Linked DNA regions of Saccharomyces cerevisiae S288C. The gene in region 4 interacts genetically with the main gene of each other region. Each region holds a gene or a part of one and is shown on either strand. Other genes may lie near its edges.

Evidence for each region.
Region 1: mutations in SMC1 (region 4) and MCM16 together harm fitness more than expected from each alone (negative genetic interaction), as found in Saccharomyces cerevisiae (5 studies listed by BioGRID).
Region 2: mutations in SMC1 (region 4) and CTF3 together harm fitness more than expected from each alone (negative genetic interaction), as found in Saccharomyces cerevisiae (5 studies listed by BioGRID).
Region 3: mutations in SMC1 (region 4) and CSM3 together harm fitness more than expected from each alone (negative genetic interaction), as found in Saccharomyces cerevisiae (5 studies listed by BioGRID).

The regions. Positions count from the first base shown.
Region 1 is NC_001148.4:654,690-658,168, reverse strand, and holds MCM16 (Mcm16p), read right to left. Parts: upstream 1,371-3,479; coding exon 825-1,370; downstream 1-824. Other genes in the region: MSF1 (phenylalanine--tRNA ligase), read right to left, coding at 1-640; THP3 (Thp3p), read left to right, coding at 1,617-3,029; 60S ribosomal protein eL43 RPL43A, read right to left, coding at 3,322-3,479. UniProt on the Saccharomyces cerevisiae protein: Component of the kinetochore, a multiprotein complex that assembles on centromeric DNA and attaches chromosomes to spindle microtubules, mediating chromosome segregation and sister chromatid segregation during meiosis and mitosis.
Region 2 is NC_001144.5:877,751-882,928, reverse strand, and holds CTF3 (Ctf3p), read right to left. Parts: upstream 3,207-5,178; coding exon 1,005-3,206; downstream 1-1,004. Other genes in the region: leucine--tRNA ligase NAM2, read left to right, coding at 1-862; CSR1 (Csr1p), read right to left, coding at 3,421-4,647. UniProt on the Saccharomyces cerevisiae protein: Component of the central kinetochore, which mediates the attachment of the centromere to the mitotic spindle by forming essential interactions between the microtubule-associated outer kinetochore proteins and the centromere-associated inner kinetochore proteins.
Region 3 is NC_001145.3:365,130-368,434, reverse strand, and holds CSM3 (Csm3p), read right to left. Parts: upstream 1,455-3,305; coding exon 501-1,454; downstream 1-500. Other genes in the region: ribosome biogenesis protein ERB1, read left to right, coding at 1-341; FG-nucleoporin NUP116, read left to right, coding at 1,730-3,305. UniProt on the Saccharomyces cerevisiae protein: Forms a fork protection complex (FPC) with TOF1 which is required for chromosome segregation during meiosis and DNA damage repair. FPC coordinates leading and lagging strand synthesis and moves with the replication fork.
Region 4 is NC_001138.5:117,421-124,150, reverse strand, and holds SMC1 (cohesin subunit SMC1), read right to left. Parts: upstream 4,723-6,730; coding exon 1,045-4,722; downstream 1-1,044. Other genes in the region: proteasome activator BLM10, read right to left, coding at 1-672; SCF ubiquitin ligase complex subunit CDC4, read right to left, coding at 5,667-6,730. UniProt on the Saccharomyces cerevisiae protein: Involved in chromosome cohesion during cell cycle and in DNA repair. Central component of cohesin complex. The cohesin complex is required for the cohesion of sister chromatids after DNA replication.

The DNA.
Region 1 (3,479 bases), on a different chromosome or scaffold from region 4:
CCGTAATCTTTACATTTTCTTTATTTAAAAGGTTCTCTACCTGTCTGATATCTTCACGGATTTTCTCGATATACATTGGCTCCTTTACGCCCACATCAGCCTTCGTTCGTTTCCAAATTGTGGCTCCTTCCATTTGGTGGAATACCGGATAGTGAGTTTTGTCAATTTCATCTCTTCTGTACACATCTGCAGATATTAAAAATCCACTTTTAATATTATCTGAATCGTTTCTTATTTTTTGAAAGCACTCTAATTCGTGGGCTGAAGTATGTGTTCTCAGTAGGTGCGTCTCATTTATATAATATGTGTCAGATTTTGATCTTCCAGGATGATCCTTAGGAAACCCTAAAGAATCGAAGTTTTCCATTGTGGTTACCACGGGCTTGAAATTATTAAAGATCTTAAATGTGTTGTCGACTGAGTTTAATTTCTTTTCAATTAGATCGCGAAGAATGCCTACTGGATGTGATTCTTTCAAATGTAATGATCTGTCGGTAAGCTTTATTATTGAATCTGTAACATTGGTAGTCTGTGGGTCGGTCTTGTATTTTATGCCATTGATTTCTACATGTGGAACTTTAAGGGTTGAATATAAGCGATAAAGACCAGTCCTGGTCTTCATCATTCTATTGAGAAACATTGAAGTTACCTCCATTGGCAGATATTTTTTTATCCCTTCTCTCTCTCTGAATTTGTGAGTAGTTCCTTAATTTTCCTACCTTTTTTTTTTCTCGAAGATTCAAACCTTAATTAAGTAACTATTATTATTAGCGTTGTCAGTATTAAAATTATTTGAATATATAAATAGCATTAGAAGATAAAAATCAAATTGTGTAGGATATGTTTGTATATCCGGAGTGTATCTGTAAAGCAATCATCAATTCTTGTATCGTTTCATTTTCCTTTTCTACCTCAACCTGTTTTCCAGCAGTATCACTGTCGTCTGGCGGTATAGTTGGTTTGGGAAACTTCGACGATAACTCAATCAGTTTTGACATCAATTCGTCGCGTTCTGCTCTTGATTCAATCAACTGTTTGTGCAATGAAGATTGAGCACCTAACGATTGCAAGAGCTCATAGTCCAGAGAATTGCTTTCTTCTAAGAGGTTTTGTAGCTTGGTGAATAATACATTGGTATTGTCCGGTTTCTCCAACAGTCTAATAAGAAGAGCAGTCTTTTCAAGATTAATTTGAAGTTGGTGTCTAATTTCCAAGAGGCGCTGTTGAGTATGGCTTAATATTACCGCATGATTGTGTTTTCTAATCAAGTACAACCTGTCCAACGTGATCAACAACTCTCTATATACCTCCACGTGCTCCTTTTCTAATTGCTGGATTCTTTCCCATTGTTTTTCACTACTGTTTGTCATCTGTCAAAATGGTATGAACTCCCCACGACAGGAAGAAATGGTTAGAAGTATCTAGATATTGCACACTGTATGTGATGACGGCTATCATTTATTGTCAACATGCATCATCCTTCACGGTTTGGAATTTTTGAGTAAAAAAGGACTGAACATGACAAAAAATAGAGATTTGGCTGTCTCGTAAAGAAACCATAGAATACAAGGAGTAGGAACCGTTCGGCAGCGAGTAGTTGAGTTTCCAATAACATTATGCAGAATCCTTACGGTCACTTTACTAACAATACCACGGAGGACAGGGAAGCTTCATCTCAAGGAGGACCATTCGGCCAAAGCCTGAATAGGCCCCTAGATTACGCCGGATCTTTCCCTTCTCTGACATACAATAATAATAATTTCATTGCCAATCAACAACCTTCTCTGCCTTTGCCAGAACCACGTTTATCTTGGAACAACGTCAACCAGGTTTCTAACCCTTTGATGGTAACACCGCTTCCGGGATTACAAAAACGTATGAACAAAAACATTAAAAAGAAATTACCAAGAGTATCTAAGAAGGCATCAGCCCTTTCTAACGGGGTATCCGGCAATGTAATGAGCAACAGTAATATAGTAGGGCATGGTGCTGTAGGTTCGGCATCGGGATGGAAAGTTGAAATGGGTGGCAGTGATGAATTAGAGAGAAGAAAGAGAAGGGCAGAAAGATTCAGTCAGGGACCATCAGCGACGACGAATAGTAACGATAATTTGAATGAAGACTTTGCCAACCTAAATGCCATTAGTAGCAAATCTCATCAATATGACAAAAAGATTCATGTGGTAGGGCGTTGCCAAACTCTAGAGAAATCTTATCTGAGACTAACTTCAGAGCCTAATCCTGACTTGATCAGACCCCCAAATATTCTACAAAAAATGTATTGCTTGTTAATGGACAAATACCAATCTAAAACAGCCACTTATACTTACCTTTGCGACCAGTTTAAATCAATGAGACAAGACCTAAGAGTGCAAATGATCGAGAACTCTTTCACTATTAAAGTGTACCAAACGCATGCACGTATTGCCTTGGAGAACGGAGATCTTGGGGAATTTAATCAATGTCAAAATAGGATTATGGCGTTATTCGAAAACCCTACAATACCAAAAAAATCTTATTCCGAATTTATATGCTATTCTGTTTTGTATTCGATGTTAACCGAAGACTATCCGTCGATTTCTCATTTAAAACTTAAGTTAATAGACGATGGCTCTTCGGAAATCTTGGAGGACGAACATGTCAAAATGATATTTGAGTTGAGCGATATGAAACTAGTCGGCAATTATCACTACTTCATGAAAAACTACCTAAAACTGCACAAATTTGAAAAATGTCTAATTAATTCATTCTTAAATCTAGAAAAGTTGATATTTTTGACCATAATTTGTAAGAGTTATAACCAGGTCAATTTAGATTTTGTTAAAAGTGAGTTTAATTTCAACAGTATAGAAGAGACAACAAATTTCTTGAATGAGCAAAACTTGACGGAGTTCATATTAAACAAACAAATCACTGACAGTAATGGCAAAAGTAGTAATATCAAGATTTTGAATACCAAGGGATGTAGGGTACAGTTGATACAAAATTATATGAAGTCTAAAAAAATTGATATAAAGGGACAAAAATGATGAAGAGGGAAACGGGATGCCTAAGGTATATGATTTTGGTTTTTTTTTTTTTTTTTTTTTCTAAATAAATATATACATATTCACAACACATAAAATCTCTTGAGTGCATTCATCGATGTCACTTTCTTCTGGAAATCAGAGCCTAGATACCAGGCTTAAGGCCCCCACGAACAGTACGTGAGCTATTGGCCATTGTTCCTGCCCAAAAAACAGACATTTACTGGAAAAGTTTTTGAGTTATAATTAATTATATAGTTGTTTTATGATTTTTATACATATAATTAAAATAAAATCAAGCTTCAACCATTTCTCTCAATCTTCTGATGGTAGATCTAACGGTGGCGGCAGCAGCAGTGGAGACAGTGTAAGCACCACCAGCGACGGTCTTCTTACAACAGGAACAAGTCCAAATACCAGCAGCACCTCTCTTGACGGTCTTCTTACCACAGA
Region 2 (5,178 bases), on a different chromosome or scaffold from region 4:
CGATTCTGGTAAATTTTTGAAGCCTGACGAGTTAACCTTTGTAAATGACTCTCCAGATGGCAACACAGTGATTATTAAATCAAATGGCAAGGTTCCGGTAGTCTCTTATGAAAAAATGTCGAAATCTAAATACAATGGTGCAGATCCAAATGAATGTATTTTAAGACATGGACCTGATGCTACGAGAGCACATATCCTCTTCCAAAGTCCAATTGCAGATGCCCTGAATTGGGATGAATCCAAGATTGTTGGTATAGAACGTTGGTTGCAGAAGGTTCTTCATTTGACCAAAAATATTCTCAGTCTCGAGAAGGATTTGGCAATAAGTAAAGACTACAAGACCCCGACCGACTTAAATGATGCAGAAGTGAAATTTCACAACGATTTCCAACGCTTCTTGAAATCAATTACGGAATCATTTGAAGTTAATCTATCGTTAAACACTGTAATATCTGATTATATGAAGCTAACCAATATTTTAGAAAGTGCATTGAAAAAAGGTGAAGTAAGGAATGAAATGATAGTACAGAATTTACAAAAGTTGGTAACCGTTATATATCCTGCTGTCCCGTCAATTTCAGAAGAAGCTGCAGAGATGATCAACTCCCAAATGGAATGGAACCAATACCGCTGGCCAGAAGTTGAGCGCACTACTGAGTCCAAATTCAAAAAGTTTCAAATTGTGGTAAATGGCAGAGTCAAATTCATGTACACGGCTGACAAAAACTTTTTGAAATTAGGTAGGGATGCTGTTATTGAAACTTTGATGAACTTACCGGAAGGGAGAATGTATTTGATGAATAAAAAAATCAAAAAATTTGTCATGAAATTCAATGTGATTAGTTTCTTATTCCACAAGTAATCATATGACGCCATGAATTTACCACTAGTGCTTGTAAATAGTTAAATATTAATGCCTTATAGATATAAATTGTCCAATCTCCTTTTTGGAAGTTATAATATATATATATATATATATATGTATATAAATGTGGATGCATATTCTAAGAATTTTGAACGCTATACTTTGAGAGACTCTTCAAATATGTAAACAAGAATGCTGCAATGTCTCTATATGGATTAGCAGTGTTACTCAAATGCATTAAAATCTTTACTCTCAAGTCGTGAATGTTATTAACGCCCTTTATCCAACCATGCTGGCCAATCTCATCATGATGAACTCGAAAGAAATTGTTAAACGTCTCTTCATTTATGATCCCACTGGTGAATTTTATTTTGGTATTTTCGGCCGTTTCCAGTCGTCTTAGAATAATAATACATATGTAGGATAGCGCTGGTATACCAGTTATCGTGAAAAATTTAGCGTTCTTGAAGTCTGCAGTTGGGATATAAAGATTCTCCAAAATCTGCTTAAAGAAATCTGGTGAGACTCCAAACAAACTTTTGGATGACAGAACTTTATTCCTGTAAAGATAATTTGTCAAATCCATGATATATTGGTTCTGCATCCGAACGAATTTGTTTGTTGACGGGTATTGCATCAATTTATTTTTCGTAGCAACCAAGTACCTGCACGCAGCTGATAATAGCAAAGGATCGTCCGAACTGAACACTTTATTCATGATGTCAGGGCCCACAATCAAATATTGGATCGCATAATCCGACTTCGTTTGTTTCGACAGTTGAGTTAAAATATCTAACGAGCTGATGAAAGCCATCGTAGAAAATCTGTTTGAAGTAGCATTGTTAAAGATTTTGTCCAAAGTTAGCAGGCTTTGCATGTCATGCAGTAGTGTCAACCCGAGTGCTATCAATTTATCATCTAAAACCCAGTTTGTAATCATTTGTAAAACGTAAAAACAAGTTTCAGAAAATGTGCAATTATTGTCGTGACCATCTCGTGTACTCCACATAAAAATACTGGCCATAAACTTAACGAAAAATTCCCTTGTACCACTGATTAGTTCAGGCTTCCATAATGGCAAGATTCCGCCACAAACCTTTTTCAACGTAAGCTCATCGAGTTTTAAGTATTTCAAATTACAAAACGTTTGAATAATGCGAGAAGACAGTTTATTATCCATTGAGGACACCGAAATAATAATGGGAATAACTTCTTGCGGAGTCTCTATCTGATGTGCAAAGCATCGCTTCAATTGCCAAATGCACCATTCGTATGGTGATGACGACTCATCGCGGCTATTTTTAATGAGAATGATACTAGAGTACAAGTGTTTGAGAGAATCCCTAGACATGACTTTTCGCGGCAGTAAAACATTGCTGTTTAAAGATGGCTTCATCATGTAATCTACATCATTGGGAATATGCAATTGTGGCCAGTTTTGAGCTAATTGTTCCAATGAAGTGACATCCCAAAGAGAGACCGTACTGTCAGAGGGAACATATTCTGGAAGTGATTGAAGTCGAAGTGGGTATATAGAATCAGCACCTAATTGATGAATTTCACTCAAGTACATGTCAATTGTGTTTTGGACAGTGTCAGCGGGAAAATTAGCGGGATGTGCTCTGGATAATATTCTTTTCAAAATGGATAGGAAATGCGCATCCAATTTTAAGTTTCGATGACTTTTCAAAGTCTTTCTATTGCAATTGATGGTAATTATTGATTCAGTAATCTGACTGGATGCGCCCACGAGACATTGAAATCGTTGCAAAATAAGCGTCGCACTACCGGGAGCGTCCCGGTAACCTGGATGCATAGCGCATCTCTTGATAATAGACAACTTCCAAGGTTTGACATCAACGGGCGTCGTGGCTTGCCAAATAACCAGGGGAGTTATCCACTTCTGTAAGAACGAGAATTGCCATAAATGTAACCAGATAGAACTGGATATATTGTGTTCTCGTTCTGAATGTACAGGAAATAGGAAATAAACATGCACTAACCATTTGCACAACGCAGATTGTAGGACCGGAGGCGTTTGTATGCGATATCTAGAGAATACCGTTGGCGTACCGAGATGGTTAATAATCTCCAAAAGAAGTTCCTTCGTCAAGTAGCCATCAGGTAAAAAGCAATTTTCGACGATGTACACTTTTGTAACTGTGTCTATTATGGAAGTTTCACAGAGTAACCTTACAAGTGCTTGTAGTTGCGGCGAAGAAAGACCATATTGTTTTGATTTTTCGTATAGCAGGCTTAAAGTGGTTTTAAGGGCCTGTGGTGGCGTTCGTTCGTTAGCATTCGTTAGTGAGAGGATGATATCATCTAGTATAAGACTCATTCATGTAAAAAAAACAAAAATTGAAGGGCGAACCGTATTAGCAGGCGTATTGTTTTTCATTTCATAGTTGATTGTTTTTGATAATAAATGATTCTATAATTTTTCGCGTATTATACAAATAAAAGTAAAAGAAAAATAAGATAGAGGGACATATAAAGAAATAGATGTTTTTATAATAAAGGTCTATACAGTATGGAGCGTCGCGTGGCTTGGCTCAAACTTTTAGAGAACCATTGTAGTCATAAACGGATCTTGATCTGATGTACGGATCTAACTTGGAGTAGTTTTCACAAAGAGCGGTGGAAAGTTGTACTCTTTTCTCCTGCAGTTGAATGTATGCTGGATCGTTCAATGGCTGGTGTTCAATCCATTGGGCAGTGACAGTCAAGAATTGTTCGACCAATTCTTCTCTCTCCTTTTCGATCATAGCGCGAGTCTCGGTGTCTTTCAGATGGACGTCCAAAGAGCCATCTGGTGGAGTGTAATGATCCAAATCATTGTCATTTTCTCCGCCCAGATACCTAGGGATGTATTGGGGTTGGATAAACTTGTGCAATTCGTCGATATTCTTAGTGAAAACAATCTTGGACGCGACGACCGGATCCAGCCAATTCTTGATGATGTTCCAAATCGGGTTAAAGATCCAAGGGGCCTTATGGATAAGTAGATGGCCCAAAGATTCCGGGTAGTGAGCCTCAAAACAAGTGATTAGAAACTTGACGGGGGCATAGTCCATATTGGACATGGAGAACCCGTTCAGATCGAACAAGATGGTGGTGGATGCGGGGTAGTTTTCTTTGAAGAAAAGCTTTGATTGCTCGATGACCAACAGGGAGAATTTTTCCAGCTCCTGTTCAGTTTGGTCGGAAGAATGATGTAATCTAGGTCTCACAAGGATGACTGGCCTCATGTCATTGTCGTAACCCTGGATGGTGGCCTTTTGCAATTCCAGGTTCTTAATGACACCGGTCTCGTTATTCTCATACACAGCTCTTTCGCCACCGTTTATGATCTTGTTAATAGTGTCCTTGCGCCAGTACAAATCGTGACCCAACATGGCGATGGTCTTGTCTGCGTTCCACTTTCTGGCTCTGATAAACTTCAAAATGGTGGCGTCTGGAGTTTCATTCTTGATATCGTGCCAGAACTGCTTCTTGGTCGTTTGCGGGTCTAGATTGGCTAGTGCCTTGTGTATCTTGCCCTTTTCATAGAGGTGTGCCGCTTCAGCGGCTTCGCTGGAGTCCTGTGTATGGTCTGAGGACTGAAGCTTGCTAAACCAGGATGATTTCTTCTTCTTAGCAGGGGTGGACGAGGAGTGGAGGGAGTTATTAGGGAAAATATGAGTTCCATCCACGGGAACTTGCCACAGATGGAAAAGGTGTGTCCAAATTTGCTTAAGGACGACCTCCTGGTCTTCGGTCAACTGTCTATCAAAGGACATAATCTAGTTTATATGTGGTCTTCTTATGTGCTTTTGTGCTTTTATGCTTCTGTGTGCGTACGTATCCGTATATTTGTATGTTTGATTTTGTTTAAAGGAGCGTAAGTGACAAGTGCCAAGATTTAAAGAGCGTACCAAACGCTATTGTTTTCACCATGTGAACAAAGCTGTAACGATTTTATGTACGTACGCAAGAGGACGATGCCGATTGAAGGCAGGAGCTCAACAAACACGAAACAAAACAACGAAGAAAGAAAAGAAATATATCAGAGAACAGAGACCGCCTCGTTTAGGGCCGCACGTATACCGCGCACTCTTGGGACGCAGGGACGCGATGGCCTTGCCATGTGCAAGATAAACAAGCTGTCAACGGCACAAGTAGCGTTTATTTGAGACCTGCTTGCTTTAGCTTGCATCATCTCTTGTTCTTCTTACAGTGGTCGCCTTAGACCATCCCATTAGCCAGTTCATGGCCAACTCTCCGTGTGACATGACGAGTGGTTTTCCCGAGTGGAAAGGTTCAGAAATGCA
Region 3 (3,305 bases), on a different chromosome or scaffold from region 4:
TAATTGCGTCATCGTTTGACAAGAGAGTTTTATGGCACGACCTGGATTTGGCTAGCACACCTTACAAGACACTAAGATATCATGAAAAAGCCGTCAGAAGTGTGAATTTCCACAAAAAGTTACCTCTATTCAGCTCTGCCGCTGATGACGGTACCATACATGTTTTCCATGCCACTGTTTATGATGACATGATGAAAAATCCGATGATTGTGCCACTAAAGAAACTAACCGGTCATAAAGTAATCAATAGTCTGGGTGTTCTTGATGCTATTTGGCATCCGAGGGAAGCTTGGCTGTTTTCTGCCGGTGCTGATAATACGGCTCGCTTATGGACCACCTAGATAAATAATTTGAAGTAGATATTGTATAATAACGCCCAAGAAGAAAAAATCAAACACTCGAACCAGGCTCTTTCTACAAGCTTTATTTACACAATATATATAAACCTATATGTATAGATGCCCACACGCACGTTTGGATTATTACCTTCAATGACATTGCTAAAAGCCCATTTCCTTCATAGCATCCAACTCATCTTGATCTACGCCAAACTCATCTCCCCCTGGCAATAAATCATAATGAGTATGTTGTCCCTCTATATCATTCATTTCCCACTCTTCCAAACTTTGAATCAGTTGAACGTCTTCTTCAGTCATAGAGCCTTTTTCCATTTTTCTATGCGCATCTAGCCATCCTAATAAGAGCTTCTTCTCATTTTCTTCAAGGCCAACGGGCCCTTGTACCCTGAATGTCTTCAATAATGCATCCAAATCTTCCTTAGGCGGCACAACGTTGTTAAGTACCGTTTCATTATTCCCACGTTCGTCCAAAACTCGTCCTCTTCTGTTGCGATAAGAAAGGTGATAGATATCGTCATCTTCGTCATTATCGTAATCGACATTGTTTACATTCCTTTTGTCTTGCGCAAAACTATCTGCGACAATAGGCCTCTCTTCCGCGGAAGTGACATGTTCTTCAACCATAGGTGATTGTCTTTCCAGGTCTTGCCCAGTCTCCCGTGTGCCAACATCGAAACTCATGCCCATCTCGTCCCTAAAAAGGCTGACTCTATATTCTCTAAGAACTGGATCTGTTTTACCTACTGTTTGACAGATCTTCATAAAATCCTTAAATTTTGCCTTGGGAAACAATTCATGTGCCCAAAGCTGGTAAAACTGAATAATATTTGATAAGTTGTCATATGAGTTTTTTTTTGAGGAAATTCGTATCCTTTTATGTGCATTTTTCAAAACATATGGTAAACCTTTATCACTGAGTAGTTTTTCGGCTGTTAATTTTACTTGAGGCCTTCTCTTTCTAGCTGTAATTGCGGTTGGATCCGCAATGGTAGGATCAACTACTGAACCATCCAAGCCATTTGGTACAGTTGGGTCTTTTTGGACACTATCGGAGTCATTGAAACCTAGTAATAAACTGTCAAAATCTTGATCCATGACCTCAATAAAAGTTTCTGTTCACGTTTTCATGGCATTTTAATCCAGTATATCATTGATCTTGTTACGCGTCAGTTTATTATTGTCACTTTTGCAGATTATCATTACCCGGCATTTTTCCTTACCATGCTCATTAGAAAAAGAACAAAACTAAATTATACTTAGAGTTAATAAAGTGTCATAAGGTCGCAAAGGAAACTATCAGCATTGCATAGAGATCCCGGCAACTGAGAGGCACCATTCAGCTTCGAAGATTTCTTTTTTAAAACATTATTATGTTTGGAGTTAGCCGTGGCGCATTCCCCAGCGCAACAACACAGCCATTTGGCTCAACAGGATCAACCTTTGGTGGCCAACAGCAACAACAACAACCAGTAGCAAACACTTCTGCTTTCGGCCTCAGTCAGCAAACAAATACAACACAAGCACCTGCGTTTGGTAACTTTGGTAACCAAACTTCTAATTCTCCCTTCGGAATGTCAGGCTCGACTACAGCAAATGGTACTCCTTTTGGTCAAAGTCAATTGACGAACAACAATGCCTCTGGCTCGATCTTCGGTGGAATGGGTAATAACACAGCACTTTCTGCTGGTTCCGCTTCTGTTGTGCCCAATTCTACTGCAGGTACAAGCATTAAACCTTTTACTACATTCGAAGAGAAGGATCCAACCACAGGTGTCATCAACGTCTTCCAAAGTATCACCTGTATGCCTGAATACAGAAATTTTTCTTTTGAAGAATTGAGATTTCAAGATTACCAAGCTGGTAGAAAATTCGGTACCAGTCAAAATGGCACTGGTACTACTTTTAACAATCCTCAAGGAACTACCAATACTGGATTTGGAATTATGGGTAATAATAACTCCACTACTTCTGCTACAACAGGAGGATTATTTGGTCAAAAGCCAGCAACAGGCATGTTTGGAACCGGAACTGGAAGTGGTGGTGGCTTTGGCTCTGGAGCGACCAACTCTACAGGATTGTTTGGAAGCTCTACTAACCTCTCAGGAAATTCTGCATTTGGAGCAAATAAACCTGCCACTTCCGGGGGATTGTTTGGTAATACAACTAACAACCCAACAAACGGCACTAATAATACAGGCCTTTTCGGCCAGCAGAACTCAAATACAAACGGAGGATTATTTGGTCAACAGCAAAATTCATTTGGGGCGAATAATGTCAGTAACGGGGGAGCCTTTGGTCAGGTGAATCGTGGTGCCTTTCCCCAACAACAAACACAACAAGGTAGTGGTGGTATATTTGGTCAATCAAACGCTAACGCAAATGGTGGCGCTTTCGGCCAACAGCAAGGCACTGGTGCTCTTTTTGGAGCTAAACCTGCTTCTGGTGGACTATTTGGACAATCTGCTGGTTCAAAAGCATTCGGAATGAATACCAACCCCACTGGTACCACTGGTGGCTTATTTGGGCAAACCAATCAGCAGCAAAGTGGAGGAGGGTTATTTGGCCAGCAACAAAATTCCAACGCTGGAGGATTGTTCGGTCAGAATAACCAAAGCCAGAACCAATCCGGATTATTTGGACAACAAAACTCCTCAAACGCATTTGGCCAGCCACAGCAACAAGGCGGATTATTTGGAAGCAAACCTGCAGGAGGACTGTTTGGACAACAGCAGGGAGCATCCACTTTTGCGTCTGGTAATGCCCAAAATAATTCTATATTTGGGCAAAATAACCAACAACAGCAATCAACCGGGGGATTATTCGGACAACAAAACAACCAGTCGCAGTCCCAACCTGGTGGATTGTTTGGCCAGACCAATCAAAATAATAATCAGCCATTTGGCCAAAATGGGTTACAACAACCACAACAGAATAATAGTCTTTTTG
Region 4 (6,730 bases):
AAAGTCGGGGCCTGCTAAGTCGAAGTATTCATCCAATTCGTCCTCCAGGCCTTCCGCATCGTCATAATCAGCAATATCGTTACCAAGTAAGTCATTCTCCGCTGTGTTGTTAGATAACCTGAAAAGATCGGTTTTAAGAGCTAAATCATCCACTTCTTTCTTTAAATCAGCCAGATCTTTACTGGAAATAGAAATCAAACCTTGTATATCTAATGAGCTGATCGCAATATAAAGATTAACTAAGACATGGCACAAGTATTTCGCTTGATCTTCATGACTTTCAGTCTTATATGGTAAGAACTCTTCAATAGGAAATTCAGGCCTCACGGATCTGCTGAACCAGCGAGATGATGGGTCATATATATTCTTCATATGCTGGGCCCTGTCACTAACATAATCCAGCGTATAATGCTGTAGCCTTTCATTCAAAAGGGAAGTGGAATCCATGCCATTGAACAGTTTTTGGTCCTGTAGCGTTGGGGTAGCAGACCTTGCTCTTAGCGGAGAATGTGGTCTTCCGTCTGCGGCATATAGCCTAGACTTTTTACGTTTTATCTCGCCCTGAGAAGAACTGGGCCTTCCTGGACTTCTCTCAAAGCGCTTCAATTGGGATAAGGTCTTGTTAGTAATGGGAATGGGTGATTTGATATCATCGTCATTGTTAGCGGTCATTGGCGGTAACAAATCGAAAAATTAATGTGCAAAGCTAGCTAACGAACAATGATAAAGTTTATGTATGCAAATACAGCTACAATATTCAATGTTCTTCTCGTAGTTTTTGCTAAGATCTAATGCAGCTTTATTATCAAGCCCTGATGACAGACTTTGCAAATATCGTGTACTTCTCCACTGGTAAGAGATGAGAAAGAACTTAAAAAATTCTTTTCTAAGGGATACCTCGGCCGCCACCCACCACAATTGGGTTACCCTGGAAAAAAAGTGACGTTATTAATATTATTGTTACTATGATATTGCACTAGCTAGTTGACCTATATAGATATTATTAGTTATTTGACGGGTTATAGCAGAGGTTGGTTTCATAGATTATTCTGCGTAATTGCTCAAGTCCAAAGTTATGATCTTCGACGAGTTTTCTTGTTGCTGTCTGTAAACCCCAACGAGAGCGTCAGATTTTTCAAACATGGTGTTCTTCAATGAAATGACAATGAATTGGAGATCTGGATTACGGTGCCTTCTTATATAGGCAGCAATTCTCTGGACGTTAGTAATGTCTAGGGCTGCGTCCACTTCGTCCAGCACGAAGAAGGGACTAGGCTGGTAGGAATTAATAGCAAATAATAGAGCTAATGCAGCTACGGTTTTTTCACCACCAGAAAGATATTCCATGTCTTTGAATCTTTTAAGAGGCGGAGTGGCATGATATTTGATTCCCGCATTGAACGGTTCATCTTCGTCTTCTATGGTTAAAGAAGCGTTACCACCGGCCAATTCCACATTGGAGTTGGGATTTTTAGTAAGTTCCCTGTAGATTGCGTCTAAATGGTCGCTCACATAATCAAATGTCTTTTCGAACAGTTCCTTTCTTTTTTTCTTAATTTTTAGGAACTGGTTTAATATTTTCTTTTCTTCGGCCTTTAGTTGTTCTGTTTCGTTATTAATCACTTCAAACCTTCCTTCCGCCTCGTCGTATCTCTCCAAAGCTCTTGCATTGGGCTGCAACTCGTTCAATATTTCCTCCACTTCATGAATCTTCTGCTCCAGCTCCTTCCTTGCCGAATCGGTATTGTTTTCTTTGTATTTTTTAGGTAGTCCTTTATAGTTTATATCGATACTGTTGGAAATTGTAATTGCTTCATTATCAGTGGAAGATATTGGTAAATCATCTATCGTTGTTTCAGATGATATAGGTATATTTATATTAGAAATTTTACAATTCTTTAACGCTGTTACTCTCTCTAAATCAAACTTTTCAATATCTTCCTTTATACCGTCTCTTTCCCTTTTTAAGACTTGTAAGTTGCTGTTCATGTCCTCTAGAATATCTTCGCTGGAATTTAATTCACTTTGCTTCGTTACAAATTTCTTCTGTAACTCATCTAAGTGATTTTTGTGTTCTTCCAATTTAGACTCTATTGATCCGATTTTCATTTCTATTGCATATTCCTGTTCTTCCAAAGACTTCATTTCAACTTGAGCATTCTCTAAATCCTTTTGCGCCTTTTCATATCTTCTTTGAGTAGTACTTAGTCTGTCTGTCTCAAACTGCAACTTATTTTCAACGGTCAAAATTTGTTTTTGTAACTGCTGTAATTCTTTAGATTGTTGTCTCATCAATTCACCGGAATGATTTTCATATTCTTTGATTGTAAAGCCAATTTTACTAGTGAATTCTTTGAAAATATTATTTTGTAAAGCCTCCTTCTCTTTCACTAAATTATCTTTAGTATTTTCTAAATCATCTAGCTTCTTCTTTAGTTCAGTTATCTTCGGTTGAATTTCTTTCTCTATCAAGTCATTATGGTACTTAATCTCTAAACGATTTTCATCCAAGGAGCGTTTTTGTTGTGTTACTTGAGTTCTCAAATTTGCTATGTCCGAGTTCAATAGTGAAACACTATTTTCAACTTCTCTTGCTCTGATTGAATTAGAGCGTTGACCGTTGGAAAGTTCATCGATTTGGATTAGTAATTTGTCTTTTAAAGACATTAAGCTTTGATATTCTTCTTTATCCCACCTATTATTGGCATCTCCTGATATACCACCTGTCATCAAACCGGCCTTGTGGATCAAAGCACCTTCAATTGTAACCAATTTGCCTCTTATGCCCTTTTTCCATTTCAGATCTTTAGCAATATTCAACGTATTACATATGATGGAATCGCCACACACATATTGCATCGCTTTTTCATATTCCGGCTCGTAGTCAATAGCATTAATTGATAAAATATAGTCTTGTGAGTCAGGCAATGATAATGTAGGTAACTCTGTCTCAATTGTGTCTAGTGGTATGAAAGATGCAGTGCCCGCACGTTGCTTCTTCAAAAATGCAATGCATTCTTGAGCTACGGTTAAATTTTCTACAATGACGGAATCAAAGTTCTTACCTAAGATGGTAGACACTGCCAAGCCATATTTCTCCTTTTTTGGGTGACAAAGATCATGAACAAGACCTTTTACTCCGGGGAAGAATCTTTTCAACATTGCTATATTTTCTCTTAGTTTTCTTTCTTTCATTGTTTCTCTTTGATTAGCACTCAAGTCATCGATCTTAACCAACGTTTCCCTCAACTTGAAATTTAAGTCGTATTCTTGATTATTAGCAGATTCAATATCAGATTGTAATTTTTTCAGCTCGTGCAAACGTTCAGTATGAAGGGCGTTTTTCTCATTCAAAGAAACTCTTAAATCGTTTAATTGCGTGTCCAATTTTTCTCCTGTTATAGAAAGCTCCTCCGTTATCCTTCTTTTAGAAATATCTGCCCTTTTGTTGAATCTCTCCAATTCCTCTTGGATTTCTCGCTTATCGTTGTTCAAAACGGCAATTTTTTCTTCTAGGATTGACCCACCTTCAGTCAGATATTTTTCATGTAAGCAATTATATGTCTTTAAATCATTTTCATTTAGCTTGAATTTGTCATAGTTTCTAGCAGATTGTTTGATTTCCTCTTCAAAAGCTTCCTTTGATCTGGTCACCACTTTTAGTTGTGTTTCAAATCTCTCCACATAAGTCTTCTGTCTTTGAAGATCTTTCTGTAAACTTTCGATTCTTTTTTCTATATGGGAAATTCGCTTCCCTGCTGCCTGTTGAGGAACCTTTATGAGCCGTAAATCCGAGACTAATTTTTCCTTATCCTTGAAGATATAATCTAATTTACTTTTTTGCTTAGAAATTACTGCGCTTTCTTTAACAAAGGAAGATTTTGAGCGTTGTAATGATTTCATCTCGTTATTTATTTTTCCCTTTAAAGACGATATTTCAGAGTTTAATGCGGACAGCTTGTCCGTTAGCTCCTCTTTTTGTTGCTCTAAATGATATAACTGCCATAGAGCCTGGAACTTCTGTAATTCATTTTTTTTGTCCAATTGTTTCCTATACTCCTCGTTCTTATTGATACCTTCTTTATATGTCTTCAATTCTCCATGGATCCTTCTCCTATTTTTTATAGATTCGGTTGCAGATTTGCTTAATTTCTCAATCTTTTCCTTCAACTCTTCATACTCCTTTTTGTATTGGATAGAACCTGATACTTCTTCAAACATTCTTGATAATTCTACGGGAGATTGTGCTGCAATTTGCTCAACATCACCCTGGAACACTAGAAAATTTTTGGCTTTGATAAGAATATTTTCGTTCTCAAGAAATATAGAATAGTCCTTATAGGAGACAGTTTTTCCATCAATTTTATAACTAGTGTCACCGTTTCTGGAAATTATCCTCATCAGCTCCACCAGTTTGTTACCTTTTTGATAAAATGCCTTCACGTATGCGGATTGTGGGTTCGAAGAGGCAGCGCCCTCGTTATCATAATCGTCACTATTCTCATCGTTTAGAACACCTCTATAGATTAAATCTTTCAAGATGTTTGACCTCAAATGATTACTCCGCACACCGAGTACGAATGAGATAGCATCCATCATATTCGATTTACCAGATCCGTTAGGACCGATAATACTTGTGAAATTCGACTCGCCGAATCCTACCTTGGTAACGCCTCTATAGGACTTGAAATTACTTAGTTCTAAGCCAACTAAACGTCCCATTGCGTCTCCTTGTGCCTGCTTTTTATCAATAGCCTCTGGATGCTTGCTTTAAGTGATTTTATGAGATGTGATATGAGCGTCTTCGGTCTTATAGAATCCAATACTCTATTCACTTTACGCGTTATTGATACTTTTTTTTTTTTTCCCGTACGTGTTTATCATGACAAACGATTACAATTTGAAGAGAAGAGCGATAGAACCAAGCCTTGGAACGTTGAAACATCTAACGATAAAGATTGTGTCATAAAAACACTCATTATTTACATTGTCCAATTTGAGAAATATCATGTGATAATATACTAGTAACATGAATACTACTAATTAGATAATATTAGAACTTTATTCTAACACAATTGTATTAGCTTTTGTATTTCTTCTGCCCACGGGAGGTTGAGCGTAGAACTTCCTAATTCTCAAGAGAATATCGATCTTTTTGAAAAACTGAAAACGGAACAGATGTTTCAAAACATAACGCTTGATAACTTGAAAAAAATCAGCAGAATCAACTTCTTAACGTTAAAAGTTCAAGAAAACTCTTGGGCCAAGAACCATCAGGAATATATTATTTAAAAAATGGTTGCTACTTTCAAGAGCATCGATTTCTTATTTGGCGCGTAAAGAAATTTTAGTCACTTCGGTTATTACGCATTTTTCCAGCTTTTATTTCTTTGATTGCTTTTATATTTTTTTAGATCATTTTCAAAACTTTCTTAAACCCTTCTCAACTAAAAACTTGTACTTTCCATATTTTCAGGGAAGAAACATTAATTAATAAACGGCACCCTTTTTGTAAACACAATTAAAATTGAACATACAAGCAGTTTAGCTGCAGTTTATATTCAATAAAATGTACGAAGTTGTTATTGTACTTTTTTACTGATTATATAACTACTTATTAAGCTATATTATCTAAGTATGAGTCAATGCTTATTCTCTGGGAAAGGTCATGGTATTATAGTTGTCCTCGTTAGACCCAAAGAAGTAGAAATGGATTCCAAAGACGACGACGAGGAGTTTACGGGATTGCTAACGTAGTTAATTTTTGAAGCTTTGCTGAAATCCAGAATTTCTAAAAAGCTCTGTCCATCTTTTTCAACTGCTGCAACAAGTGTTTTGCCCTTAAAATTAACCGACCAAATCTGATCAGCATCTTTTAGAATATTTGCGTGGACCAATTTCCCACTCCGTAGATTATAGATGTTGAACTGATTTTCCGATCCACTCACCAAAATATTATCCGATACATAAAATGTGGTAATTGCACTCAAATTGGTATGATGGTAGGAAAATTTTCTAGAGTAGTCGTTTGCGTCCCAACCCCTTATTGAACCGTCTGCAGCGGCACTGACCAAAAATTTGTCGGATAATCTTAATAAACCGACCAAAGCTGTATGACCCTGCAAAGTGTACATAGCACCAAGTATTTTGGCGCATGGCGATGCTGAATTTGTTGCGTAGGAACATTCTCCATTATTCCATATATTTTCCAAATCCCAAATTCTAATAGTGGTATCCATACTGGCAGAGATGCACCTTTTTCTTTCATGATCGTAGATTGTCGAATAAATACGATCCGTATGTCCACTTAAAATATACAAACATTTCATTTGCGCAACATCCCACACAATCAGTGTATTATCATAGGAGCCACTAACGACAATATTACCGTGGCCTGAGACAGTTCTTACAGATGCCATATGTCCTCTTAAAACACCAACAAAATATGGGTTCTCCTCAGGGGTATGAAAGACTAATGGATAATCATGTTCTTCCCCATGATCAGGAACGGAGGACTCCTTGGGCAATTTCCAAACGTGCAAAGTGTTATCTCTCGAACCAGTAACAATGTACTTGATATTTTTATATTCTACTATATCTAGGCACCTCACCGTAGAGTTATGACCTTTAAACACATGGGTACAACAACCTTTCTTAATATCCCAAACTCGCACCGTTCTGTCTGTAGAACCGCTGACTAAAATACCGCCATGGGCATACTTCAATGCCC